Linked DNA regions of Alligator mississippiensis. The protein of the gene in region 1 interacts with the protein of each later gene in a biochemical or structural test. Links are inferred from orthologs where the notes say so. Each region holds a gene or a part of one and is shown in the gene's direction. Other genes may lie near its edges.

Evidence for each region.
Region 2: the proteins of RET (region 1) and GRB10 form a complex in vitro, tested with the Homo sapiens proteins (2 studies listed by BioGRID). The link is inferred for Alligator mississippiensis from reciprocal best matches to the Homo sapiens genes RET and GRB10.

What each region holds. Positions count from the first base shown.
Region 1 is NC_081829.1:34,601,650-34,616,215, forward strand, and holds the start of RET (proto-oncogene tyrosine-protein kinase receptor Ret), read left to right. Parts: upstream 1-8,217; 5' UTR 8,218-8,620; coding exon 8,621-8,666; intron 8,667-14,566. UniProt on the Homo sapiens protein: Receptor tyrosine-protein kinase involved in numerous cellular mechanisms including cell proliferation, neuronal navigation, cell migration, and cell differentiation in response to glia cell line-derived growth family factors (GDNF, NRTN, ARTN, PSPN and GDF15).
Region 2 is NC_081828.1:91,951,563-91,967,151, forward strand, and holds the start of GRB10 (growth factor receptor-bound protein 10), read left to right. Parts: upstream 1-9,785; 5' UTR 9,786-9,941; intron 9,942-12,516; 5' UTR 12,517-12,574; intron 12,575-15,589.

The sequences.
Region 1 (14,566 bases):
ACCAGAGCGCCAAGAGTTTTCAAAGATCCGCGCTAGAGGCTGGGCTATGATGCTTGCCAGCTCCTTGAGTATCCTGGGGTGAAGATTGTCAGGGCTGGCTGACTTGAAGGTATCCAGCTTCTCAAGATGTTCCTTCACGAAGTCAGCATTAATGGAGGGCAGGGGATCACCCTCACCCGGACTTCCCGGCCCTGTAGCAGGCATGGGCGTCCCATGGGACGCATGAAAGACTGATGCAAAGTACCTATTTAATAGGTTGGCTTTTTCCTGGGCGTCAGTTGTCAGTTGCCCCATCTGGTTCAGCAGGGGTCCAATGTTGCCCCTGCTTTTCCTCCGGCTCCCCACATATCTGAAAAAGGACTTTTTATTGTCCTTGATGCTCAAAGCTAGTTGGAGTTCCATTGCAGCCTTGGCTTTCCTGGTATGCTCCCTACAGGACCAGACCTGTAGGGAGCATACCAGGAAAGCCAAGGCTGCAACAAAAGCATGTTGTCTGTGATTTCATAGGTTTTCTTTGTGCAGTTAATGAAACAGCATGACTGCAGGCAGACATAGAGTAGTAGGACTGCATTATCGGGCAGATTTGGAATGAATAATGGTTGCTCCACATATTTTGAATGAGGGGCTACCTTCATGGTGCTGTATGAAAAGCTTGCACTGAACCTTGAAGCTCAGGGCACACAAGTCTCTAAAACCATATCAGCTCAGAGTCAGATTGCTGCTACCATTTGGAAACTGTTCGCTATAAACTACCAGCTTTATGCTATCTAGTCAACTATTGGTATTTTGGTGGTAGAAATTTGAGGTTATTGTTGTTCTTCATCCATTGGTAGTGGACACTGATAGACTAGGGACAGAAGTTACACATAAACTGGTTTAAGTGATCAGAAACTGGTTTAAACTTGTAACAGAACAGAAGTTCCATGCACATAAATCAGTTTAAAAATGGCTGAAACTAGTTAAAGATAAAATTTGAATGTAGTATCAGACTTTGGGTCAAATGGGTCAAATGGGTTTATGAAACTTCTGTCCCAAACCCTTTCCTGGTTCAAGTTAAATCATAGTCCCCCAGCATCCCAGCATGCTTTTCAGCCCTGGACTGGGCTGTCTGCTCCAGAGAGCAGGGTTGGCCCCACCCCTCAGCTCCCTAGCTGGAGCAGTGAGGGCTAGCTGACCAAAGGGGTGGGGGGGCAAGTCCGGCTGGGGGTGCAGCCCAGTCTGTAAGGGAGCGACTGCCTCCCCCCACCCACCCTGTCCCCACAGGCAAACCTCAACTGGGACCAGGGAGGGAGGCTAAACACCTCTTCCCCTGCTCAAATTTACTGTTGGTTGTAACTGTGTACTACAAATTTCAGAGGCACCTGGAAGGAGGAAGAAGTGATGAGAAACCCTACAGAGTTCTGCTGCTATAATTCTGGACTGCAAATCCTAGAGACCTTGGGGGCAGCAGGAAGAGGAAGTGAACATATAACCAGCAGCTGTGCTCTAGCACCCCGCCCCCCCCCCAGCTTCTGGCCTGAGCCACTGCAGGCAGGTGGCTGCATTCCCTGAATCAAAGGTAAATAAATGTCTGTTCACTTCTGTTTCAATTTAATCTGTGAATCTTAGACTAACCTGCAAAAACTGATTCGATTTAGCTTTGGGCTTTTTGACTGTCTGTACCTAGCCGTAATGTTCAAGACATAAGAACAGATTTAAGGGAGGTTCCTAAGCTGCAGTGGGGCCCCTGATGGCAAGTTTGTATTCTTGATATCTCAGGGAATATGTTACTGTATCAACTTCACTATGAATCAGGCGAGCAGCTGTGACTTGAGGGGTGCTGCTCTGTGTGCTGGGCCAGGTGTACTGCCACACCCCACCCCTTTTACTCGAGCTGTGGTGGGTTGGCTGACAATTCACTGACCAGGACCCTTGCCTCCCCAGGCAGCTGGCCTGTGGCTTGCCCCGCCAGGCTACAGGATTCTTCCCAAGCCCTGGGCTCCCAGCCTCAGGTCTGTAACTAGAAAATCCAAAAGTAACAATAATAAAATAAAAAGAGCTTCACTTATCCTCATGCTGGTCCTCTGGGGTCTCCAAAGTCTATCCTCCACTCTGCAATACTGGTGCCTCAGCTGCCCACACTGTAGCTTGGGAACCTCTCTTAAATCTGTTCTGATTTCTTGAACATTATCAGTCACCCTCACCTGGGTGTGGGCTAGTCCCAGAGCAAGGTGTGAGGGAAGCCCCATCCGTGGACCACGTTGTCTGCATGTGCCCCTGGTAGCACCGCTGGCCCTTCACTACCTCAGGAGAACCTCCTCCTCAGCTGGTCCTAGCTGCTCTTATCCCCCTCTATTTCTGGGGTGTCTGGATGGCCAGGCTCCCAATTGCCAGGGAGATGGCCGGCTCCCAATTGAACAAAAAGCAAAGATCTCAAGTTGCAGGAAGGGAAGTTTATGTTGGATATTAGGAAATAACTTTTTCACAAGGGGGATGTAAAACACTACCCAGAGAAGTTGTGGAATCTCTATCCTTGGAGGTTTTCAAGACCTGGCTAAACAAAGCTTTGGCTGGGATGATCTAGATGGGGATGGTCCTGCTTTGAGTAGAGGGTTTTATTAGATGACCTCTTGATGTTCCTTCCAACCCTAATTTTCTATGATTATAGGTGAATCAATGCCAACTGCAAACCTGAGTACCAGCATGCCAATGTTACTGGTGGTGTTGGGATGTGTTGCACACTATGTAATGTTTGCCAGGAGTACTGTCATCAGAAAAAAAACTCTAGAATGTGCATCTCATCAGAAGTTAAGGGTGCTTTGTGAACCCATATGCTTTGTGGCAGGGGAAAACTGATGTTGGCATATGCACTAATATACCATATAACTCACTAATAATTTTACTATTTGTATGTGACTGAGTAATCCATTGATGTTGGAGGAAAACTGTTCTTTTATTGCTTTTGAAGCATTTGCATACTGATCATACTGATACAGTAAAGAACTTCTACAATACAGTTATGTGAGAGGCCAGTTTTTTGTACGTAATATCTTTTATTGGAGCAACATAGCAGTTGGGATAGATTTAGACAAGCTTTTGAGTGCAGAGCATTTTTCTTCAGGTCACTATAAAATACTGTAATTAATATTCCAGAAATTAACCCCCCCCATCCAAAACCAAGGATTTGTAGAAGAAGTCTGTAAACCACCAAAATCAATGCAATTCAACCTCTAGAGTGGGTGAATGGTTTATTCAGAAAAAATAAATGCAGTTACAGAGAAACTTAACCGTGATTTTGGATGCAAATAGTTATGGCTGGAAATAAAAACAAGAAGGTGAAAATATTTTTCAGTGATGCCTAAATAAATGTTTCCATTTTATTTTGTTACAAAAATTGCCAAAATGTAGAAAACATTGTAGGATTTAGAAAACTGTTAATGAATCAAACCTTTTAAATTGGGGTCCAACAGTAAGTGTTGTAGAGATTTTTAATTCTCTCCCAAAGATGGATGATCATCCTTATGATGCTATGTCTAGCTTTTTTGGAGTTACATCTTCCAAATTCAGGCTTGCTACACTCACTCCCTGGCGTGATGCTCTGACCAGTTGGTGACATGTTGTGATGAAGGTCTCTGGGATACATCTTTTCTGACTCAGCTAAGTTGTGCAGAAATGACAACTGTACTGGGAGCTAAATGCTGAGCAAAGTAATATAAACTGGCACTTAGCTAGCATATCGGAGGCAAATGAGTAGAACCTCCTCAAATGAATAGAACAACACACAATATAGCACATAGAGAACCGTGGGAATGTGTCAGAGAACTTCATAACTTAGATTACATTCAAATGCTCACTGTAAGGGACGTGAGTTAAAGACCACATTTAATCCATACCCCTGGCATGCAAGACCATTAAGGTTCAAAATATGCACAAATCTGAGTTAAGGGTCTTTGTGGTGGGGAGTAGGATGGTGGGACAGGGTTGAGCTGAAACAGATAACAGCATTTGTTGCCTTCACTGCAAAAAAAACACACTGTCACAGACTGTTAGTACCAAAATGTGACCTGTCTCTTTTTCCATTAGCCTCTGTTTGCAAATTCTGCCTGGAGCAGATTATTTTCAGTGCAGTCCTTGATGTACATGTAAGACCAATTGTAAAGTTTGGCAACCAGTATTCCATCAAAGAACAGATCTTGGTCTATATACAATATTTGTATCTTTTAAACCATTTTTCTTTATCTTTTAAACCATTTAGGAAATAAATGGTATCAGCACAGAAAGACCCTACAATAAACAAAGAGATGTGTCTGCTGTAATTAAATGAAAACAAACAAGCAAACAATGTTCAGCTCATCAGGAATCAGATATTGGTTACTAAAAGTGTTTTGTCACTGTTCATTTAAAGCAAATGGCAAGATAGGTGAGTTTCTGAATGTAATTGTCTTTTGCTAACTGGCCATAGCATAAGAAAAAACTAAGAGACTACTTGCAGCAGCTTCAGTTTGTAAGAGGCATTATCATATCAAAACATCTCAGGGTGCCTTTAGAAAAGAATCATACAATAATTTAATAATTCAGTCTGCAGTGCTAAATTAATGACTCAAAGCAAAGCAGAAATAAATGAGTAATAAGCTATAGTTTAACAATCACAGCAGCCTGCAGGAAAGTGTCAATTTATTTTCTAATTATTTTTGCTGGGAGAGTGATGGGAGACATTATTAGGGAGCTTGTACTTATGGAGCAAATAAAGGACAGCTGTTTTTATTTTTCCACAGTTAACAGATCTGATTTTTGCATCATTTTCAAAAAGGTTCAGTTAAGAACCAAGCAAACTGTATTAACATTTTATGTATGTGACAGTGGAGGTGAATTGCTGCACAGAAGTTATTAATACCAGGAATGTGATCTGGTAGGGAACATATTATCATAGACCTGTGCTAACTTCAGTGGGATTCCAAATAGGTGTAGGAGGAGGGTTGGGAGTGTGGGGGTGGGGAGGTGAGAGAGAGAGATGGAGAGTGTTGTCATTTTGAGTTTGGGGTGAAAAATTCCAAACTGAAATGTTTATATTTGGGAAAAGTGTCACAGGGTAGTTTGGGTATCTCATGCTCCCAGGCTTTGTACTTCAGCTGAACCAAACCAGTGGTATAACAGGCAGAGTTGCCACCTGGGTCAAAATCTGTGGGAGAGTGGGGGTGGGGGGCACCCAGTTCTGAGCTGGGAGAGGGCCGTGGGGAGACACAGGACCTGGGAGGGGTGGGCTGGAAGGGCAGGGGGCAGCACTCCTGACCTACACAGGAAACTCCAGTGTCTTGGCTGAGCTGCTGCTGCTGGTGGTGCATGTGCTCTGCTTGCCCCAGCTGTTGGTTTTATAGTGACAACAGCCAGGGACTGTTTTGGAGTTTCTGGAATGAGAATGTTGCTAGAGTACAAACTCTGCAAGGGTTGGGGGATGATTCTGGTGCCTCTCCGTGATGGGTGACTGCTGATCCAAATTTCCCAGGGTGCACCACAATCTTTCTGTTTGGTCGTGTGGTTGCAGGGAAAAATAGAAGGTGAAGAACTCTCAAAACAGGAGCATGGGACCATGTGTAGTTGAAGTCAACTCAAGACAGTCTTCTAGGAGAGTGGCTCCCTGACCCCCATGGAGAGAACACAAGCAATATTTTCCATTTCTGTTGCATTTTACCAGGGTTTATTTGCCTTTTACCTATATTTCTTTTTATCATGGGAAAGAAAATAGTGACAACAGCAACAGCTCAGTCAGTGTGTACTACATGTTCCCATCTTGTCCTTTGTAACTTCCTGGTGGGTATGTGTGTGTGTTACACACCTGCATGATCCACACCGGATAAAGATATTAACAGCTCTTAACAATATAGTATAGCTCTTTAAAAGTTATCGGAGCTTTTGTGGTCCTTAATTCAGTGTCTGTATCATCTAAGATAGCAACTATCATGCCTGTTCTACATACCTTTTATACCTGCTGACAGACCTCATTCTGCTCATGCACAGCCATGCAAACATGCACAACTAAAGACTCCTGAAAAGTCTAGAAATTCCGAAGAAACATTTATGGCAACCTTCACTCTGCCTGTTCTGTAAATAACTTGATGGTATCCACAAGCAATTTTTAATGGAGCTTGGACCTGGCACAAATATGTAGCTTTATAAGCAGTTGCTAAGATGCCAGAAGAGATTTGAAGTCCTTGAATTTCATCCAGAAAGTCACTTTGTGTCCTGGATAGAAATTGACATTTAACAATGCAGATGATATTGCCTTATTTTAGATGGCACCAATATTGATTTGTGTACAGTGTGAGCTTTTAAATATGATTTTAAGGTAAATCTCAGCTTAACAGAAAATGTTTCTCCTCAAAGCATTGATTTAATGCTTTTCTTTTTATGTTGTTTTTTTTTTAACCTGTATCCCCCTTTGTTTTATACAGACATCATGAATGTCCTGCTGCCATTCTCAAGTGTCCTGCATTTTGTCAGGTATGTTGAAAACACCTATTCTTGAAAAGGTTGTATGCCTATCAGTAAAGCTGCTGAAGGACCAAAGCTGTTTAGGGTTGGTTCATATAATTTTACTGTCCATTGAGTGCCTTCCCTTTTCCTTTCAAACTCTGTTCGCTTATGAAGCTGCTCTCTCTCCGCTCCCTTATTATCCTTAGATGTGCCTGTGTCACATTGCTGTTCTCCCAGATTCTGATTATGTTCCTGAAGTCACATGGGCTGCAAACTCAAAAAATTAACAGGAAAAAATAGCATTTGCTGTTCCTGCTGGGATTTCTCGCATCTCTTTTCCTGTGACATCTGGTACCACAGAGTCCATACGGACAGGGCTAAGAGGCAGAGAGTTAAAAAAACCCCCAAACAATGTAAGCATCTCTAAAATAATCTAAGAGAGTTTTCTAGATGTGAATATGTCATAACAATGAACCAATCCTAATGAAAGATTTCAGTCTGGCAACTTGAAACTATCCAATGCCACAATGACCTGGCAGATCACAGGAAAGATAATAGTTGTGTCAGCCATGATTGTTCCCCTTACTTTTTTTTCCTTCTTACCATCTCTGCACTTTCTGCCACTGTATACCAGGTGTCCTTTCCTACGTTTGTTGTAGTTTCTTGTTCCTAAGAAGAGTGGAACCAGGCATGTGGCCCTCAGGGGACTGTTGGTTCTGAAGGTGCGGGAGTGAGTGCTCTTGCTTTTTATTTTGACCTTTTTAAATGCAGTATTAAGTTGAAATTTTAGTGGTGGTTCAATGGCAGGATTCCTCGGGTTGATGGCATTGGGGAAGACCACCGAGTGGCAAATGAAGAAATTTAAACACTGGTTAGGCAAAGGTCCAGGTCCAGGTTAAATGGGTTACAGCCCCTCTGCCCTACCCCACTGTTAATGAAACGGAGCAAGATCTACTACTGCTGCATGATCTTCTTCAGTGATGCAGCCCCTGACTGAAAGGCAGAATGAACCCGGAGGTGCTCTCGCAGCAAGGGGAGGGGTGTGGGAGTGTGTGGGCTCACGGGGTAGGGGCCAGTGGGTGTGTGTGTGCGGGTGTGCGCGAGGGCCTGGGAGTGTGTAGGAAGGTGTGGGAGTGATGTGTGCCTATATGTTGGGCAGCAGGGAGAGGCCGGAGCCTGCGGACCCAGCTGGTGCTTGAGCCCGCTTCTAAGCCTCGCGCAGCTCGGGGCGGGGCGGGGCGGGGCGGGGGGACCTGGAGCGCACCCCGCGGGCTGCACCGGGACACCCCTGCGCCCAGGCGGGGGCAGCGTCGGGCTCGGCACCTCCCTGGGAAGTTTCCCCGGAGGAAGGGACCGAGCGGAGTCCTGTCCGGGGTGGCGCTGCCGGCCGCGGACACGGCACAGCACTAGGCCGCCCCGCCCGCTGGCTGCGCGCGGGACACGCACCTGCCCCGGCACGGCGCGGCGCGGCGCGCTGCCGGACCCGTGTCCTTGCGGGCGGGGCGGGGCGGGGCGGGGCCCGGCTGCGCAGGTGGCAGAGCGGGGAGCCGGGGCCGCCCCGGGTTTCTGCCTCCGAAGTTGAGGGCTGGCCGCCCCCGTCTCCTCCCCCGCGGCCGCTGCTCATTAAGCTGGGCCGAGGGGCGGCCCGGCCATTCCCCGCCGGCGCTGGCTCGGCTCGGCTCGGCTCGGCTCAGCCTGGCGAGGTCTGGTCCGGCCCGGCCCGGCCGTGCCGCGGGAGCGCGAGGAGCCGGCAGCGTTTCGAGCATCCCAGGCTCCGGGACGCGTCGCCCGTCGCCAAGGGACAGGAGCCGGAGCCGCCCCGCCCGGGAGCTTCCCCCTGCGGCGGGCCGGGCCGGGCCGGGCTCCCCGGGAGGCGGCGCTTCGGGGCTGGATGTGAGCCCCCCGCCCCCCGCACCACGCGGGAGGCAGCGCCGGCAGCAGCGGCAGGATTTCCCATCTGGTCGCGGAAGGCGCCGCCCCGCCCCGCCCCGCCCCGCCCCGCCCGAGCAGGTCCCCTCCGAGCCGCGAGCAGCGCCGGCCCATGGGGCAGCCCTTGCTGAGCGCACTGGCGCCGGCCCTGGGAGCAACCTGGTGAGATCTTTTGGCAGCAGCCTGCCCGGGACCGCTCGGCCTCGGGGGCAGAAATAACAGGATTACACGACGGGAAGAGATGCCTTTCCCGGGGTGGACAGTGGGTTTCCTCCTGCTTTGGGAAGGTAAGTAGATGTGAGCTGATCCTCCCCAGGAAGCTTGTGCCGGGTTAGCGAGGCCCGGGGAGCTTGCACCGGGGTCAGGAATCGCAGAGAAACGCTGCCGCTCGCTTCTCTTGGGTTTTGCTCCGCATCTCCCAGCTCTAAAACTAAGTGACGGCAGCCGGGAGTTTCCTCCTCCTCTAGAGTGACTATGAACGTTCACGCTCTGCATTACTGTTGTTACTGGCAGTACTATTAGTATTATAATCATTTATATTAATATTATTAATAACTTTCCCTTCAGGCGCCTAGAGCATGAAGCATCATCAAATGAAATGGTGCTGATAGGTGAAAAGGACTGCAAGATGACAAGTTATTGGGTTATGAATAGGATGCCTTCCCCAGCTGTTAAGTTTCAGAGGCAAACAGCAAATCCATTATATCTTCCTTGCCTCCATATGTTCTTGTTTGCCAGAGCATGTCTGATGTTTACCTGAATAAATCCAAGTTTGTGTTTTGTAAAGAACTGGCTCAGTCCTCCCTGAGACTAGGGCACAAGCTCATAATCCTACTAGGAAACAGTACCCTCCCCCCCCCCCCCCCCCAATAAATAAATAAATAAAATTTACAGTTCACGAGTTGATTTTTTTTTTTTTTTTAATAGAGGGAGGTATCTTGGTGGCTTCAATTTTTATCATTCGTACATAATGTTCTTTCCTACCCATCCTTTTCATTCCTACCCATCCCACCTAGGCTCTTTTTAATAGTTACGATTAATAGATTCATAGTAGCTTAAGTGATCAGAAATCAAAACAGACTTCAAAGTCTTCATATTCTTGCTTTATTTTTTTCTCTTAATTTGAAGAACCTTTTAGGTGACTCCCTACCAACTATATTCAGATTTCCTTGTGGTTTCACAGGTATCTTAAAAATCTCTGAGAAAATGTAGATAAGAAATATATTTCTTAAGTCCAAACACTCATTTAAAAAGTTAACTGGAATAGCGTATATCATACAATCATTTTATTGTAAAGAAGATTAAGCCATAGTGGTGGTGTATGCATACAGTCTGTGATTTCTATTTTGTGTTTTACCGTTTTATTTTGGGCTAATAATTTTTTTGACATTTTTGGCAAAGTTCATAATAGTCCAAGTTGTGCATCTTCTTTGCCTTGATGAACATTAATGGGGCATAGGTTATGCATTTCAGATATTCACTTGAAAATGGTTTCCAATTAGCCCCACTGAATAAACTTGTCATTAATGTGGTGGTGCATTGGAATATGATGATAGATAGGTAGTAGATACAGCTGAAGATACTCCTGAGATTCCCTTCCCCTCCCCCCTTATATACCTTTCTCTTTGTTCTATTTCCCTCTATGTCTGATTGCTATTCAATTTGACTTGTAGTTTTATACCTTTGTGTTATTCTGCTCTTGTGTTTATGTTTTTCCTACCTGTTTTTCCCTAAACATGTATTTTAAAACTACTTTATTTTTTCAGCATCATCCAACTGATCAGTTGCATGTCTTCTACATTTGTTTTGAAGCAATTTCATAAACAATAAATGTATAACATGGAAGTAAGTTATAGGAGTCTTTACATTAGGTTGTTCTAATTAAATGGATGGCTTGATAGCACCTACTGGTTAAGCTTTTCCTTAATATAAATATTAATTTTGTTTAGACCCTCAGTTCTGACTGGCGGTGTTGAATGTTTGTTCCTTCATAAGTATCACTGAAAGGTTTGGCTGAATGACGTAAGTTGAAGATAGTCGTTCAGAAAAATTGCTAATGCAACTTGGGGTAATCATATTCATTGTTAATTCAAGAAGTCTAGCATATTAGTAGTGTCATATTGGTGTCTGTTGCTGGAGAGCAGCAGTATTTCACCTTGTTTAGAAGTGTGGCACCAACTCCTATTTATGTCAATATGAACTGAATTGATAACAGGGGTAAGCAGGAGTGTTATGTCTTGGGTGTTTTAACAAATTCCCCATACACATGGAGCCTCAGTCAATTTAGAAGCTGAAATTTCCCTGTTGTGATGCTGTATATATTTGACCTGTGCCATGAAGGAGATTCAGTTATAAATTTTTCTGTCTGAAAAGAAAACGCAAGGAGCCTTCCACAGTAAATATATTTGTACTATAGCATATGAAACAATTCAAGCTCCTATCATCTATGCTGTAACTTCAGTTGTACATAATCGCCCACTGAAGGATAGTGCAAAGAAATATGCTTATGCTCGGATCCTGTTAATTCATCTTTGAATTTTATCCATGGTTGTGGATGCTTGAAAGCTGAAATTTGTAGACTTTCTGAAAACGGGTACACAGCTGAATTGTTTACGCCAATATTTCTCTAACTTGGGTAAGAATGTATTTTACCAAGCGACTTGGAATAACCAGTCTGGTGAGTATACCGTTAGCAGGGGGGATTAGAAATGATTCTCTAGCATTGCTAAGTGTGGAAGAACGTGGCACGTCAGATCTTTGAGGTGGTTCTGAAACAGAGAAGCAGGACAACTTGTGCTTATTGCATCACAGTAAATAATAGGCAATGTGTGAATCTCATGCCTACATTAATACTGACATTTTAACAGCCTAGAAACAAGTGAAACCGGAATGATGTTTCTCCATGAATCAATGTCAGATGAAAAAAATGCACATTTTTGTTCTGGTGCGTTGCATGTATCTCCAAAAATTATTTATAAATCCACAGCTGCTGTAATGCTTAAATAAGTTTGTACATGGACTCCAGGATACAGTCATTTTGCCTGGGGCATTTTGACTAGTTTCTACAAAGTCCCTTTTAAGTGATTGTGTAGGAAAAATGGGACTTTATTGAAGTAAGGACACAACCTGTGCATAAAAGGAGTTAAACAGTCTAGATTATTTGTAGCCTTGAATGTATTTTTTTTATTACTAGAAGGAAGTCCTTTCTAAGTGGACATCCATTATACCTATTATCAACAGACAGAATAAATTTTGCAAGCATTGCCACTGTAAACATATCTCATAACAGTAGAAGGAAAAATTGCTGCAACATGAAAATATTGCATATGGAAATGTAACTAAAGTGCTGCTGTGTACAAGCCATTCAAACCACTACATTATTTTATAGTTGACTCTGATAAAATTCTACAGAGGATTTTTTTAAACTAGTTTTGATATTCAGCTAAGGCCTGTACTAGAATGTAGATTTATATTGGTAGATTCCTTGTCTGTACTTTATTTTGATGAGTTGCAATTTATGATAAGTTCTGTTCTGAATATATTTATAGAGTAAGGAGGGACTTCCTTAAACCCATAGCTAAAAAGTGATATTTATTTCCCCCAGAAAAGATTAGGTGGTTTGGTTTGTGCTATTTGTATTTCATGATGGAAAAAATGGATTTTCCCAGTAGAAGAATTTCTACGTAATTCCCTCTAAGAGTATCCAGTGTACATTAATATCTTCATGTTAATGAGAAGGAAGTGTTAATGAGATCAGGCTATGGAGCAGGTCATCAAATGGGTCAAGGACCAGAGTAAAAACAGCCATAAATATGGCTGGATGCCTGTCTCTTGCTATCTTCTTGGCAGTGAGAGATTTGGGCGATATGTGATTTCCATTCTAATTTGTTTAGATTATAACCCTGACCAAGGTGCAGGAGGAAATGGAACTTGGACAGAAAGAGAGAGTGATTTCAAGATATCTTAATTGTTCTGAAAGGAAGATGAAAATAAAAGGAGAGTTCAAAATGTCCTTGTCCTATTAGACAGAAATAATACAGCTTGGGACAGCTTGTTTCCTGCTTACCTCATCACTTTCCCTACCCTCTGTGCACAGTTTTCCGAAGCCACATGACTGTCCTCCAGTAGGCCTATATTGTTTTTTTTTGCAGACCCTTCTGCTATTATAGAACTTCTCTGTCATTTGTGGGGTGTTTCCCAGAGCTCATTGCCCTGTGATGCAGATCACAGGGTGTATAAATCGAGAGCAAAACTCATTAGTTTAAGGGAGAAGCAAGTTGAGGTCTTCGTGTTCACCCAGTCTTACAATCATCTCTTTCCTTTGCTCATGACTGGGAATATTGTCTTCAGGTCTGTCTGACAAGTACTGTCAGTTGGTCTGTTTGGAACCTGGTTGGTAGTCCTTTCGCTGATGTTATGAATAGGCAGTATTTCGTAAGGTTCACAAAAATTCCATGAAGGAAATTAATATGAAAATTATTAATAAGCCAGTATTTTATGTCAAACACAGCATTCAGTAGATTTTGATCACCAGGCAAAAGTGCTTATAATATTAACATGAGCAACCAGTTTATATGACAGCATTGATCTTATATCTGCATACTAGATTAGGACACAATGAATGGCTGACAATGGCATGTCCTTTTCCAATTTCTATTAGTGCAATATTACAGTGCAAAATAATATTTTCTCTCTTTTTAAAGTGTTGTTCATTAAAGGCCTTGGCCTGAGGATCTCTCTTACTTAAAGTATAGGTCCACTTCTGGTTATTGTGAATTTGGTCTCAGATCACTTTTTTTCTTTTCTGGATGATTTCCCTATAGGAGTAAGATTAATTCATTCTCTATACTTCAAATTTTTGGTACTTCTGTTGAGATTAACAGAGAGACAAGTGACAATTGTGACTTGGCGGTTTTGAGAAAAAGCAAGATGATTGACTTGTAGGCTATTGAACAGCTGTGGGGTAATAAATTTATTGAGTGTTTCATTTCACAACCTTAATAATGTTGTTTGAACTTTATTGTACATACTACATGTGAATGTATCATCTTATATATTATACTGTGAAAACAATCTGTAAGTAGGAATTCACTTTCCTCTACTTCTCCTTATTTGTTCTGCTTCACCTAGTTCTGAAGCAGTAAATAAAAGTATATCACAGGCTCGGAAAATTCAATAATGTAGGAGCTCAGTGTTCCCTGCATAGACTTTCTGTGTAAAGTTCACTTAGAGTCTGTCTGCACACACTGTATGAATAACAGCTTTTCTATAATCAAACCCTGACCTTCAATTCTTCAGCGATAGAACCAACAGCAAAGCTATCTGGTAATTGGCCCGAGTCCTTTCATTCTGGTTTTGAGTAATAGAGTTAAACTGCTTATATTTAAAATTTTTAATTTCTGCAAGCATTTGTGCTAATCAAGCTGCGTAACATAATCTTGTTAGCATGTACAAAATCTAGAGTCAACCCAGGGGTGGTTGGATATTACGAATGAGGCATAATAAACAGTGGGGAAATCTCTGAATCTAAGCTGTTGGTGTTCACTTGGTGGGGCGGCATGTTGACATTAGAAATTTACCAAATTATTCAAAACAAATTATGTAATTGTTGTGTTCTGTTTTTCCCCCCAATTGACTTGGTTTTAAAACTGCTCTTGAAAGCAAACATCTAAAGCATTGCAGGAATAAATTGAGCAATTAAAATAGAGGAAAGGCTGTCTTGTGGTTCTTACGCTGGACTGAGATGGAAGAGATCTGAGGTCCATAACCCAGCTGTGCCTCTTACTTGCTTGCTCTTTAAAGTAGGAAGAATAATAATCATCCCTTTATCTGCGTTACGGATTTAGTGTAAACTCAGTTACTTGCTGATTATGGAATAATAGAACCTTGAGCTCATTGGGGTCTTGCAGTATTTGGAGAGGTCTTTATTTGCCTAGTGTTCAAACAAGGCAGAATACTTGATTTTTGTGAAACTAATAAGTCATTTTCCAGTGTTGATGGGTTCACTTTGTCCTGAGAAATGCAGAGTGATCCAAAAGACTTTTCATGTTTATAATCTTTTCCCCTTTTGAATAAAGGACTATGATAGAAGATTTTCCAAAGATAATTTAAAAACAGTCCTTTGAATGCTTTCATTATGGTAGATCTTGTAATGGAGTCATAAGCATGCCAAAAGTCTTTTAATTCA
Region 2 (15,589 bases), on another chromosome or scaffold:
CGGAAAAGTTTGAGGAAAACATCTGTTTTGAATTAGGTGAGTAAAGAAAAACATTTTTTCTCTTTTTAAAAGTTTTGACTTTTTCTTAGGCACAACTCCAGAATGGCTGAATTCAAAACTTGAAGTGTCACATAGTTATACCTCAGTGATGAACAGAGACTTTGTTATGTTTCTAAGCACATATACCAAACTGAGAGTTCACTGTGATGGGTGAATTTGAGCCCTTGTGCTTTCATTTTTAAGCATCAAGAATGAATTAGACTTAATTAGGCCCCATTGGCACATGCTTACCATTTAAATCCTGTTTTTTAAGACCTGGTACACAGGCTTTAGGGAAAATTCTTGTTTCAAAGCTTTTCCAGATTCCGGACTGCAGAATCAGCCCCCAGATATTTCATTTCTTGCCACAATGACATAATTCAAATCACTGCTAAAATAATTGTCCCTTCTGACCAAGGCCAGTTTCAGGCAAATATAAACCCAGTTCAGTGTGGATCCCTCTACAGTTAGAGTAGTGATTCTCAACCATGGTGCCACAGCACTTGGGGGTGCCCTGAGTGCCTTGTGAGGGTGCCATGGAATATTAGGAGTGTTAGGTGTGCAAACACTAATGCATGGTTTACAAGATTAGTCCAGAGATTTTACACAGGAACCCATAGTGTCAAAAAACATAGTGGCTTGGTGGTGGTCTTTCTGAGTTCTTTGGAAAAAGAGAATTGCCTGTATTATTTTTCTTTAATCCAAAAATGAGTGAAAGCTAAGAGCTGGCATTTTCTGAGGGATGCTTTGAGTCTAACATGTTTGAGTACCATTGGACTAGAGTGCAAGGGCTAGATGCCATCTAGCAGTGGTAGCAGGGGCTACCCAGGGCCCTGGAGGAGCATCCAGAGTACCTCAGTACTTACCACTACAGCCAAGGCATATCTGGTTGGGTGATCCATGTTCTCTAGCAATTCTCTATTGATTTGACTGGAGGGGAGGTTTGTTTCTCCTTTTGGAGCAGGTTGGTAAAGGACTTGCATTTTCCTGATGTTTAGAGTTAGGCCAATACTCTCATAGACTTCCGAGAATACATTAAGAATGGTTTGGAGGTCCATTTCAGATTGAGGTTGAAGAGCCTTCCGTCCATCCTATACACAACTTCAATTCCAGGTGGGAGCGTGCTGTTGACAAGGTGCATTATGGTGGAGTTCAAGATGGAAAACAAAGTTGGAGTGATGATGCAATCTTGCATCACTCAAGTTTATATCTCAAATGGTTCTGTTTGATTCCCATCGCTGAGAACCCTTGCTGACATGTTGTCATGGAGAAGTCTTAGAACACCAATGAACTTGTTTGGGCAGCCAATTATGGACAAGATTTTCCATAGGGCTTCACAGTTTACAGAATCAAAAGCTTTAGAGAGATCAATGAAGGCCAAATAAAGAGATTGATTTTGCTCACAACATTTCTCCTCGATTTGACGTGCTGTAAAGATCATGTCCACAGTTCCTTGAGATGGTCTGAAGCTGCTTTGAGATTCTGGAAGAATTTTTGCCACAAGTGGGAGAGGGCAGTTGGCAAGGATATGGGCGATGACTTTCCTAGCAGTGGCCAACAATGAGATTCCTCAGTAGTTTCCGCAATCAGCTCTGTCCCCCATCTTGAAGACAGTAACAATCAAGGCTTCCCTTAGGTTGGCTGGGATTTCTTCCTTGTTCCAGATTTTAAGGATGAGGACATGAAGCTGACACTTAAGTTGTTCTCCTCCTCCTTTGAAAATCTCTGCAGATATTCCCGTCAATACCAGCTGCCTTGTTATTCTTCAAACCCTACCTCCATTCAAATCAACAGAGAATTTCTGGAGAACATGGATCACTTTGCCTATCTTGGAAGACATCTTTCATCAAATGCAGACATCCTACATGGAAATACAACACTGCTTGAAATGTGCAAGCGCAGCCTTTGGACATCTAAGAGAGTCTTCTTAAATCATGACATCAAGCCATTGTCATTCCAACGCTTCTGTATGGCTCGGAAACTGTGGCATGGCAGGAGATGCAATTGTGCAGATCGTGCATCAAGTCCTATTGTGCCTTTACCTGAATGTCTGGCAGGCACCTTAAATCCAAGCTCTCTCGTTATTTTCCTGACAAATTTATTAGTATGGAAATATTTTAGGAATCTCCATGTCTTTGATTAGCCTTGAATAGAAATAATGCTTATGCTCTGCCAGAATGTTTTTGTCACCCTTAATTCTTGCATGTTTTCATTGAAGGAAATTACCGTTTATTTTCCAAGGAAATATGGGGTTGTCCTGAAGGCTATTTTACATTCTGGCTATTATTTCCATGATGTAGTATAACTGCAGCTTTTCCAGAGATTTGTTAGTTAAGGGAGAAGGATCTAACTATATCATAAATCTGCCTTTTACTGCACTTACAGGGATGTATAGCTACTGCTAAATTTAACCATTTTAATGGTGCCATTTTTGATAAACAGTTTTATGACAGTATAGTCTGGTCTCAAACAAAACAGCTGTAGTCTAGGAAACTAAACATGTCTTTCCTAGTATTTATACTTGCCAGAATGTACAGGAAATATTCCTTACGCACACTGTTTTTTTCCCATAGAGCCACACGGAGACAAATAAATATTGTACAAGTGAATACTTGAATCATCTTCTAGCAAAAATGGTATTTTCTATAAAAAAAAAATATGTACAGACACCCTATTAATACCTATTCAACTGGACGTTGTTTATCAGTGTCATAAACAGTTGTAGAGGAATCCATCAACTACCTGGCTCTAATACAAGTCATTTTACTGTCTGTTAAATGTAACATTAATGACAAAAAGTGCATATACATGTTGATCTTTTAAAATAATATGTTTTCACATTTTGATAATTTAAAAATTAATTTTAGGTATCTATTTGGTATGATAAACTGATGGGTCAGCAGCGTTACATTGTGTGATGAAAAGCATGAAGATTGGAGAAAAATGTGAATTAAGAGCCAGGTATGGCTGCTGAGAAAAAACTAAAGAACAACAGACTACCTCTGTCAGTTCTGTATTGTATGTAACTCTGTTTGTAACAGTGTTGTTTATTTTTAGTATTAACATATCTGCAAATTATTTTGCTCTACACCCATGTAAAATGTATTACGGACAAGTAAGGTGGAAGATAGCTTGGAATCTAGGAATTCCAGATGTAGGTCTGCCTGAACTGAGAGCAGACTTTGTGAGCTTAGAAACAGAGAAGTGAATTGTCTTTCTTCCCACATTTCTAGAAATGTGACCCAGGAATTGGCAGGTCTGTATTTATTCATATTACTAAGTGACACTAAGGTGTACTGGTGAGATATCTATGTAACTACTAAATGCAATTGCATAAACCTTGGAATGAGATAAAATAACAGCAACCATAGGCCTACTGGTTCATTGGACAACATGAGGCAGGAGCATCAGATACCATGAGACAATGTACTCCAATAGAAGGAGGAGGAGCTGAAGCAGCTACCTCTCCACTCACAGCCTTGAAGAGGGTAAGAGGAGACACTGCCCAATCTCAGATTGTACTTGAAGGTCCGGGCTGACAACTTTAGACAGGTGTCAGCAAGAAGCAGTACATCAACCTCACCATAGGGAGACAGGAAATCACCATTGTCTTCTGACAACTGGGGAAAGATCCCAATTTCCTGCAGGGCTGGCAGGATGTTATTGCTGTTCCCCTCTAGAGTCTTGTTCCTCTTCAGTAACCTGAGTCAGACTCTTCAGACTGAAGAAGTCTGACCAACACTTAACATCAGCTAGCAGATCTTGATGTTTGGCCACTTAGGTTTGGCCTGTCCTTGTAACATATACCCTTGCCTCAGCAGCAAGGGTGTCCAGTGATGAGGAACTCAGTTCTCAACACCCTCACTAGAGAAGAGAAAGCAGCTGGGAGGATGTAGTCACTATCTCCCAGCTGTTTTCTTCTACAGCTGCTTCTGTGAGGGCCTACTTTGCTGCTACAGTAGCTCTCTGAGCCACATTTTCTGTCCAGAACACGGCCTGCTGAGGAGAGGCTCGTTTCCAGAATGGAAGAAGAAGACACCATGTGTGGAAAGGTGTCTATTTATACCATCAAGCTCAACTAAGGGGCCTTTGTCCTCTGCTAGGTGGAAGGTAAGGCCTCCCAAGTAGAACCCTCAACTTCGGTCAAAAGGGCTGGATCCTAGCCCAATCAAAGGGAAGACCTGAAGTATTAAAAAGCCTCAGCAATCATGAAGAAGAGTAGCAATAAAGAGCCATGGCCCTCCAGTTTCCCTACTCTTCAAAGTAGGGAAGGGCTGTGGGCCCTGACTGCTTGGCTGGCATGAAGATGCAACTTCCACCCAGATGTGGGATCTTAATGGGAGTGGTCCCTGTTACCCTCCACTTGACAGGACAGCATCACTCAAGAACTGTAAAATGCCTAGGTCAATTGGGAATGGTGAAGAGGCAGGAGGACTGACTGATGGTGTGGATGAGTGACAATTTAAACTGGGAAGTTGAAAAATGACTGACCGGGGTGAGTATTGTGAAAAGGGAGGAGGGTCAACAGTGAATGAAATGGACACGACTGAGCATAGAGTAGGAGTGGGTCACACTTGGGAAGCTGACTGTCTGAGGAAAGTGCGCAATGAATTCACTAAAGAGTGACTTGTGCATGTTGGAGCAGGTGATGTGTGTGTGAGAAACTGGAAAAAACATTTTGAAGGGCATGAAGGAAAGATTCATCAGAGAGAATGGAATGAGAACACAGAAGGAGGAGAGAGAAGTACAACATCCAGGGAGAAGGAGGACGGGGGTGATGAAGGGATGAAGTACAAAGACAACAGTGTACAGAACAGCGGGATTAAAGGAAAAGCAAAGGGAGAAAGAATAAAAGAAATATAGAATGAATGAGTTATATTTTTAGAATATGTTCAGTGAAGAGTTGAACAATGTTAACATGAATATAGCAGTTGAGTTGTTTCTAACAAAGGGCACTGGGACTTTCCCTGATTCCACCGGAATTTGTCCTACTCTATAGATAGAGCCAATCCTACTATAAGAGGGTTCTTCTATGTATGGCTAAGAGAATGCCTCCCGCCCACCTTTAGAATGCATTCGATTGAAACAAATGGTACATATTTTTTTAAAAGTCTCCTGAAGAAAGACAGCCTTGGGTTCTCTGGAAGGTAATATGCAGTACATAGCAATTTATGAGTTGCTTATTCTTCCTTGAATCTCACAACTCAGCCCCAGAGATATCTGGAGTGAAATGCAGGATGCCTTGTGTTCTGGAAAAGTTAGAGGTATTGTGCTTACGTGGGAATCCTGGGGAGTGCATGAAAATCTAATAATCTTTACAATATAGAAAGCCTGTCCTGCAGTTTCCATTACTGTTATTTGTTCCATTACTATTATTTGTTCAGACACATTGTGTTATACACCTGACCAAACTGGCAGTGTTCCCTGCGTTGTTATGGCAGCATTGAGAATAAGTGAGAGTAAAATTGAAAATATGACAGGCAGCCTAGGATAAAAAAAGGTCATGCGGTTACTTGTTATGCACACATGAATTTGCCAAAAGATTGTAGAATATGTACAAAATCTCTGCAATTCTAACATGTTAACATCACCTTTCCTGGTGAAGTGTTTCCTCATGAAACTTCCTATCCTGTCCCCTATTGCTAGCCACCATCCCCGTTCATTACCCAGCATCTAGCTTCCCAAGCAACGCCTGTCTTTTTTTGCCATTCGTCCAAACTACACCCAAGATGCATCATCCTGCAAGCATTTTGCACTTCCTCTCCCTGCCGCCCCCCTCCTCCCCCCCAAATAAAAACTCCCTGCTGACTAGACAGCTGGCCATGTCCCTCTTGCAGATTCAGCCCACAGGATGAGACAGGACATTCCTTTTGTAGTGCTCCAAGCCCAGTGCCCAAAGGTTCTGGCTGCTCCTTTTGAGTTAGGTGGATACAAGTGGCCAAAAATAGGTGTCTGAACATCAGGATCCAGTGGTAGCTGTATTGGCCAGGTCTCTCCAATATCATGCTATGACCCTGTCCCCACCCTTGTTAGGAAGAAACCAACAGCTGCATTTGATCAGACCAAGAATTCACTTGGTTCTGAATCCTGTCTCTGGCAGCAGTCAGAACTAGATGCTGCCTACCTAAAATATCTGCTTTTGTACTGTCTAGCTCAGTGATTCTCCACCAGGGTGCTGTGACAGCCTGGGTGCCTTGAGATCCTTTCAAGGGTGTTGCAGGGTGCCACTCAATGTTAGCACTATTAAGTGTGCACACACAATTCACAAGATAAACCCAGAAATTCAAATAGGAATCCATAGTGGTAAAACCATTCTGACCTGATGTGGCCTCTTTGGCCGTATCTATATGAGTGTGGACTTGTGGTAAGTGACACTGCAGACCTGTCCCATACACTGCACATACAGGCATTCCCTGCACTTTGCAGCGTGGAGGGTTTTTTGACCCCTGGAGACTCTTGGGTTCCCGGATCAAAAAACCCAATGTCAGAAAAAAGTGGGGCGGCACACATGGCAGTGCACACCACCCGAAACCAGAGCCTGGCTGGCTGGAGCCATGCTCTGGCTGCTGGCCAGGCTCTTTGCTGCAGGAGCACTGTGGCTGCAGCTCCTGGAGGCCCCCAGGACCCCAGGTAAGGCACAGTTGCTGGCCTCAGCCTCCCCTACCCCACCCAGTGTAACCTGCCACACACCGGAGCACACTTGGCATGGGCATTCCCTGGGGACAAGTAGCAGCGGCATAAGGTGTGCCACTGCTACTTCTCCCCAGGGAAACACACTGTCATTTTCTCTAGGATTTCTCCATAGTCAAACACAAGTGAACACAAAGGGCTCGCATTTTCTGATGGATGTCTTGAGCCTAGAAGGGGGGACCTTGAGTCTGTCAAGGGGTGCCATGAGTCTAAAAATGGTTGAGTACCACTTATCTACCTCATCTCAATTGCTAAAGGTTAGAGCAGTGGTTCTTAACCTTTTTAGACCCAAGGCACCCCATGTTAAATTTCAGGTACTCATCAGAAAATGCTATTTCGGCTGTCACTTGCTTTTTGACTATGGAAACATACAGCCATTCTTTTATTGCGAAGAACTCAGAAAGACCACAACAGGGTAGAGTGTTTTTAAGGGTACAGATTCCTTGGTGTAATTTCTGGGTACATCATGTCAATCAAATTGAATGAACTAGTAATGGGTGGCCATGCCCCGCAAGTGAACTGCCCAAGTTGCAGTCCTCTAGCACCCCAGGATGCAGTGTCCCTTTCCTTACTCTCCTGTTCTGTGTGGACAAACTTTCCATCCCCTGAACTCTACTGCCCAGGCACCAAGCTAACATCTCCTGCCTTCCTGGGGAGTATGACCTGCCCTCCCCCATGGATACAACCATGCTAACAGCCTACTGTTCCTTCTCCCTCCCCCCCAGCCACATCCCCCCACATATAGAGCATGGCTAGAAACGTGTCCTAGCTCACCAGGACAAGTTGCAAGTCTCAGCAGCAAGTCCCAGCTGTAGCTCTCTGCTCACCAGCCCTCCAGCAGTAAGTCACAGCTGGGCAGGTGGGGAATAATCAGAGGAGGCTTTTAGCTAGAAGGTGTGATTGCTCCCAAACTCAAGGTAGCACTAACCAATCAGCATTTGAGTAACTCAGAGTCCAACATGTAGCAAGGCCCTTTTTCTGCAGCCTGCCTTGCTTCTTCCTGAACAACCCCAGGCATTTGGATACCCCATAGCCTGAATGGTTTCTCAGTACAACCACGCTTGGTGCTAGCCTTGAGGGCAGCCCCAGCCTTTCCCCTGTTCCGGGCCTCTGCTGGCGGCTCCTACACGGAGCTGTTGCCACAGGCATGTATCTGGCATGGTTTACGGATGCTCCTGACACCTGCCCTTTCTGCGAGCAGAGGGAGACCGTGGAGCAGAGGGAAACCGTGGAGCACACCTACCTGGAGTGCACCAGGCTGAAGCCCCTTCACGGCCTCCTTCAGAACCTCCTGCTGGGGTTCTGCCTGCACCAGGAAGGAGGCTCTGGGCAAGAGGACCCTGAGGACTGTGGGACTGCTTTCTTATCCCCAATGTGATCCTGTCTCCAGGCAGAGTATCACTGAGCAGTGTCCACTGGCACCTTGGACTCATTTGAGGGCCTGTGAGTGCTGTCCAGTGTGCTTTGCTTGGTGTCTCCCCTTGGCACTCTTGTTATGAACCTTTGACCTCCACTCCTGTCCCTGTTTTCATTATGATTTGTCCCAAGTAACCAGTCACACATCACTAGTGGCCCCCAGTACTAAAAGAGAGCTTATAGTATCCTTGGTGGGCCATGAAATCCCCTGATGTGTTAAAGTCCTGTCCCTGGTGTGATCCTTTCTCTGGGCAGAGTACCACTGGGCAGTGTCTGCTAGCTCCTTGGACTTATCTGAGAGCCAGTGGGTGTTGTCCGGTGTGCTATGCTTCATGTGCCCCCTTTGGGCACTTGTTTTAAACCTCTGACCTCACTCCCAGCCCTATTGTCTTTAATTGTTCCCAGAAATCAGTTATTTTCTACCTAGCGGCCTCCCTTTTTTAAGGGGGGCTTATAGCGTTCCCTTGTGGGTATTGGCCTGCATTACAGGCTGAGGGATACTCTCAGGGACTGCTTTCCTGTCCCTTGTCTGCCAGGGCTGCTGACTCTGTTTGAATCTATTCTGGGAGGTTTCCAGAACTCCAGTGTGCCCACGACACACAATGCCAACATGCCCACATGCTAGCATATATCAGTTCTGGGTTATGGTTATGGGCATGTAGACTTTATGGCAGGAAGACATGTGCATGTTCCTATTACATTTTAAAAACCCACCACCCTACAGCATAAATTGGATTCAACCTTTAATAATTATTTTAACTAATATCCTATCAGTTATGTCCCCGGTGACTCTCAGCAGTCTCCTGGAGATTTACATCTCATTCCTGAAGGCTCCAAGGCAGTCCTGGAAAGCTGGCAACCCTAAATGTGCCCACTCACCGCTGTCTGCTCAACCCTTAAATGTGTCTGCCCAACCCTCATGTCTGCTCAGCCTTTAAATGTGTCTGCTCAACCCTAAATGTGCCTGCTTACACTCCAAATACATCTGCTGAACCCTAAATGTGTCTGCCCAACCCTTTCTCTGCTCAACCCTAAATGTGCCTGCTCACTTCTGTCTGCTCCACCTGTAATGTGCCAGCTCACCCCATGTCTGCCCACCAGTAAATGTGCCTGCTAACCCCGTCTGCTGAACCCTAAATGTGTCTGCTCACCCCATAAATGTGTCTGCCCATCCCTTTGTCTGCGCAGTCCTAAATGTGTCTGCCCACCCCCTATGTCTCCTCAACCTGTAACGTGCCTGCTCACCCCCCAATGTGTCTGCCCAACCCCAAAGGTGCCAGCTCACTTCTCGGCAATTTCCCTGGGCAGGGCCGCTGGCTCCTTGGCGGCCGGGGGCGCTGTCCATGCTGCCGCGCTCGGGGTCCCCCCTCGGCTCCCTCACTCTGACCCTGTGATCTCCCCCGCCTTTGACCGGGTCCCAAGAAAAGGAGCCGGGAGTTTCCCAGGCGCCGCCTTGCCCGGGGAGGCTTTATGGTTCCTGGCGGCGGCCCCGGGCCGGGGTCCGGTGCAGACAGGCCCGCGGGCGAGGGGCAGCCCCGGGCGGAGGCGGCCCGCGGAGGCCGGGCGTGGGCGGCGCGGCTGCGGCTGCGTGCGGCGCCGGGGCGGGCGGTGGGAGGAGGCAGGGATGCACCCTAAGCCGGGGAGTCAGCTGAGGCGGGGAGAGGCCAGGCTCGGCGGCGTCGCCTCGTGTGCGCAGCGGCCGCACAAGTTTCCTTCGTGCTGCTCCGCGCCCGCCCGGGCTCCAACTTCCCGCCGCGGCGGCAGCGGGGGAGCGGCCAGGCGGGCCGGGCGCGCAGGTAAGGCTGAGCCGTGGCCGCGGGGTGCGCCAACTTCCTCGTCCCCGCTGCAAACTTGGCGGGCCCCCAGCCCCTGCGCCGGGACGCGGCCGCCCCAGCCCCCGCCCCCGCCCCGCCGCTTCTCCAGTCCCCGCCGCGGGGGCACAGCGGCTCGCAGCCGCCTCCGCTGGGGCTGCCCCTCGGCGCTGCTGTCCCGGCCTCTCCCTGGCTTGCCATCGAGAACGGGCTGCAGCCCCGGGCTCGGGCGGGGAGGGCTCGTCTGTCTAACCTTGCCGCCCCCCTCTTTTCTTTTTTCTCCCCCTCCCCCCCGAGCCTTGGAGAAGCGGGGCTGAAGGGACCCGGCGAAGTTAGGCTGCCCGAGGCAGGATCCGACCCATCCCAGCCTCCCAACGCTTTTCTTTTGAAGCTGGGCAGAAGTCTGTATTTAAAGCGGGGTGGCAAGTGCTGATTCAGCAGGCGGCTCTGAAGCGGTGCTCTCTGTGCGTGAAGAGGGGGGGAAAGGGAAGAAATGTTTGGATTTGTTGAACCGGGAGCATATGGCGCTGGCATGTCAGAGCAGCATGGGTCCAGGCTTACTGAGCAGCTCTAAGCGGGCTTCTCGCTGCCCGTTTTGTCTCCTTGAAGGAGAGGGGTGGGACGGAAGGCAAAGTTTGGGTACGTCTCTCCCTCTTTCCTTCAGTTGCATTCGGATGATGGGTTGGAAAGGTTGCTGCTTCCTACAGGGGTGGATGTTTTAATTCTTTGTTGCTGTTTTATTTAACTGCTCCGGCTACAAAAAGCTGCCTTGGTCCACCACGAAAGCTCTAACTTAATTTCTTCTTCCATGCATGGACCTGCCTTATTTACGGCACTGGAAAAGGTACAGAGAAGGGCAGCAGGGCTAATCCCAGGATTAAAAGGAGTGAGTTATGAGGACGGGTTTAAAAAAAAAAGTGTACGGTGCTTAGAAAACCTGACTGGTGTGCCTCAAATGCCAAAGGCTGAATGGTGGAAATGATACTCCTGTTGGCTCCTCCTCTGCAAAGGCAAGAGAAAAGATATTAAGCATGTTCTGCAGTTACGGTGCTCCTTACCTAGAAGGTCTGATGAGAAGAGATGCAGCTATTTAAGAAGCGTATTTTTCTCTTTCTCATCCTTTGGTCTCAAGGTGTGCATTTCTATTCTAACCAATACATCGAACTTTTGATTCTGAAGCTTGCTTTGCTAAAAAAAAACCCTAAAAATATCGATTTGTCTTTTTAAAATGCTGCACAGTGTAGGGTAAACAAAGCTTGGAAAGCAACACTTGGTGGTGTCTGTTCTGAACTATGAATTGATAGAAAGGCAGACTTGTACACCTGCCTTCAGTGATTTTCCCTCCCATACACACACTTTTTTTTGTACTGTACTTCATTTGCACTCTTATTTGCTCTTAGAGGTAGCTTCTGTTTGCTCTGGCTGGGTGTTAGATCTTATGGTACTTCTGTGGTTTTCCTTGGTTTTGATAATCCAAATATTCTCTCCTGTCTTGCTCCATGTATCTGGCTTTCATCCTCTAATCCAGTTGTGACACTCTTTCAATGGTGTTTTGTCTTCTAGTCCAGAAAGCTTTCCCTAATTGCAAAGCGCATCTGTTTTTGGTTCTGCTCACAGAACCTGGCTGATGTCATTGTAGTTTCTTATAGACACTGGGTTTCTTCCTGTATTGCAGCCCAGTGTCTAAAAGTAGCTGGATCCAACTAGCTATGGGATCCCTCCAGCCTGGGGAGTCCCGGGTGGCAGAGAAGTTGTATAACTGTCAAATACCATTTCTTCCAGGAGCTGTTGTAGGATGGGGTGAGAGGGTTGGGGGCATATGACTGTGCTAGCCTGTGTTTCTGATGAAACCCAGTTAGCAGTGTCCTACTGGAGGCTGGTGCCAGCTGGTGTGTACCCCACTGGCTTATGTCTAAATACCACAGTCTGGCTTTGAGAACCAAGCAAAGAGGTACAATAAGAAAACTCATTGTCAGCCATAAGAGAATGACACACATGTTTTTAAGGCATTACATGAACATTCCTTTTAGCACCCTGGATTAATTTAGTTGTTTGGGTTCCCTACGTAAAACGTGTGCGACAGAGTAAGAGCTCTAGGGGGAGAAACTTCTGTAGTAAGGCTAGATTTCTTCACTTTAAAAGTGTTTGCTTGAAAGCGTGCTGAGCAAATCTTACAAAAACTGTTTGAATGTAGTCTCATGGGATGTGGTCGTGTTGCAGTAGTGAACTTTTCGCACCTCCATTTTGACTATCTGATTTAGTTTATTACTAAGGATGCATGGCTTTCAATTATAAGGTCTTCTCTAAAGAGCTTCTTTTCTATGTATGCTAACTGAAGGCCCATGCCCCATATCTGGTTATACCTGTGGGCATCATCCCAGGAATTGGTCTGAGAGCAGCTCCTAGTCACTTTCACCTCTGCACATCATTAATGAGGTTTTGTGACAGGTGAGGGTGGGGCTGTGACTCCTCCCCTTTTGGATCAGTTTCATCCTTTCTAGGAATGAAGCAACCAAAGAAACCTATAACAGAGGTATCAGTCTCAGTTCTTTTCTTTCAGCCTTGCCACTAGTTGCTGGCTCAGAAGCTACTTTCCGGCTCTAACTCAGATGTGACAAGTAAGTGCTGCTTTCCTTTCTCTTTCTCCAGAGCCAGATAAGAGCAACATGGGTGTCATGGCAACATTATTTCAGGTAAATGGATGCCTGATGCCATTGGCCCGTGCTTCATTCTACCTGTTGTTGTTGCTGGTGGTTGTTCAGTGTTTGTTCTGTTTCCATTGCTTCTATCCCACTAGGCTTGCAAATCTACCTGCTCCCAGACCTCGACATACTCCAAACCAGATCCAATTTATCTGCCTTTCTCCTGGCCTCTGTAGATTTGGACATCTGTTCCTTCACTCACACAATTAACTCAGAGTTCAAATCAGGAGGAAAGGAAATGTAAAGGTAATGTTGCTAAGGAAATGTAAAGTATACAAAGGAAATTGGATTCTATTGCCTACATGCCGACTAGAAGCAGGCCGCACAAAGTGACATGACTTATCCTTGTGGGACAAGGCAAGGCCAGCCAGCAGACAATCTTTGACCACACCAGTGCTGAAGCATCTAACATAGTCTGCATTGTCAGACCTTGTTGGATGAAACTGGGAACTCTCTACTAGCTCAACTTGTTCCTCCAGGATAACTACTTCATTGCAGGACAAGGTAGGATAAGAAGCCAGACAGCGGTGCCTTCATCTTTTCATCAAACAGTCAATGCAAGGGAGGTGCCTTGAGCACGAAAATTCAAGCTTAATTCATATGAGAGCAGAAATGATTCGGGTCTAACAGATTGCATGCTCCTTTACAGGTTAGTGCCATCAGTGTTGTAGTTAAAGTTTCATCCTGAGAGACTTTAACATGCTCATCAACAAGTCTGTGAAAATCCAAAAGCTCAGTTGTTCACTGAGACAGACTATTCCTGGTTCAATTCAAGTAGCTGGTCACAATCTAAATCTGGTCCCTTAGCCCAGGGGTGGCCAAATATGGCCTGAATGCCAGATCCGGCCTGCCAGGTGACTGGATCCAGCCCACGGCATCCAGTCACCCTGCATGGGGCCATGCTCTGCCCAGTTGCGTTAGGGCACACTGCACTGGGCTCCCATTGGGCCAGGTCCCAACCTGCGTGGAGCTTCTGGAGGGGCTGTTTTTGGTGTAGCTGAGTACTGTTCTGCACTCTCTGCCTCCAGTGGTGGCTTCTGGATTTGATCTTGCCCCTGCTGTGCTACTTAGTGATGTACTGTGCAACGCCACTCTGGGCAAGCAGTTTCAGCCAGATGGCTCCTGCCCCACCACATGGGGCTCCAGCTTCAGCTCATGGCTGCCTTCTGGTGGAAGGCATCTGGGATCTGGAGCCCCACATGCCTGCCAGGAGTGGTGTGGCAGGAGTAGGAGAAAGAGCTGCTGTTGGAGTTGGGTGGTGCAGAGCTGCACCAGGAACAGCCGGTCAGAAGTTTCTCCTGTCCCTGCTGTGCTGCACCACATCATGCTGTTCTGGGTAGGCAGGCGGGCAGGTGAGCAGCTTCAGCTGGGCTACTGCCCCAGTGCCCAGCCACCTTGCAGGAGGCTGGCTGAAGGGGCAGGATCCTGGTTGAAGCTGCTTGCCTGGAGCAACATGACTTGGCACAGTGCTGCAGGGGCAAGACCAGGAGCAGGAGTTGCCACTGGAGGCAGGGGGCACAGAGCAGCACTTGGCTGGGCTGTGGGCACTGGTGGGAGTGTGGTGCAGGCTGCCCCAGTGTGAGCGAGCGGAGCTCAGCCCCATGCAGAGCACTGTGGGGGCAGTGCGGAGTGCACTGCCTGGGCAAGCTCTGCTGTACGAGGCCCCCCCACCCCACCCCACCCCTTCACCCACAGCAGACTCGTGGGACCTAGTGTCCAGGCAGCCCCCCCTCCGCACTCACGCATGCACGTACACCTCCCCACCCAGAGGGCAGGGGCATGTGATTCCAGCTTCTCCCACACCTGAACACTGCTCTCTGCCTGAAGACAGCCCCAGAACGAGTTCTGGTGAGTTCTTGGGGGAGGAGGAGAGGACATTAAAGTCCTTTCATTATGTCCCTAAAGAATTCGGTCATCAGCCCAGGACAGCTCATCAAAACTGCCTATGTGGCCCTTGGGCCCAAATAATTGTCCATATCTGCCTTAGGCTGTGTATCAAGACTGAAGACAGCACAACCCAACCGACGCTCAGGCAGACAGTCTAATTAAGACATTGATTGGAGATCCTCCAGCTTCTCAGTGACAGGAGAGACCATTGATCCTTATTTGACCACGAAGACTCATGGATGACAAGAACCCCAAAACCTTGCTGAAGTGTACAGGACTGCCAGCCTCCCAAACACAAGGTCTTGGACCTGGTGAATCACCAGAAGCCAGCAATATGGCAGTGACACCCCCAAATGCTGGCCTCAAATATAGCTTGTCCCCAACATGGGTCTCCTGGTTTTTCTGACTGACTGCACCAGATGGAGAAACTTGTATGCTGATAGCAGAAAATATACCCTGGTATTGACAAGGTGAAACGAAAGAGATTCCTCAAACCCTTGTAAGGCCAAAAGAATTCATCCAATCTAGAAAAGTTGCCAGATCCTGAATCGCTGAGTGGGTCAGGGTGGTATGCAACAATGGTGAAGCTCACCTCTGTAGATTAGGCAGCTTGTAGTCTGACAGTTACATAACCAGGTGCTTATTTATCAAATGAACTTCCCTATGTGGAAAGCTGTGTTCCCTTCATTTGTAGGGAGCAAATGGAAAGCTGTGTTTTAGTTTAAAATGGCATCTGTGGACTAATGAAAAACCAGCTGACCTGGTTTTTACTAGTGGAGTGCTTTAAGCACTTCAAGTCCTGTTGGAAGCTGGGCTACAGGGTAGGCAAGAATGCCTCCAACTCCGTGATAATAGCCATCCCTGAAAGGACAGAGGCTTGGGTTCTGTTTCAAGGACTGCATATGCATTGCTTTTTTCAGAAATTGTTGGAGAAAATGCATAAGTAGCATTTGGGACAAGGACCTGAACCCATGACTTTCTCTGTCTCTAACTACACACCATGCAAGACAAGCATACTTCCTCACTGGGACCCTCAAACATGTA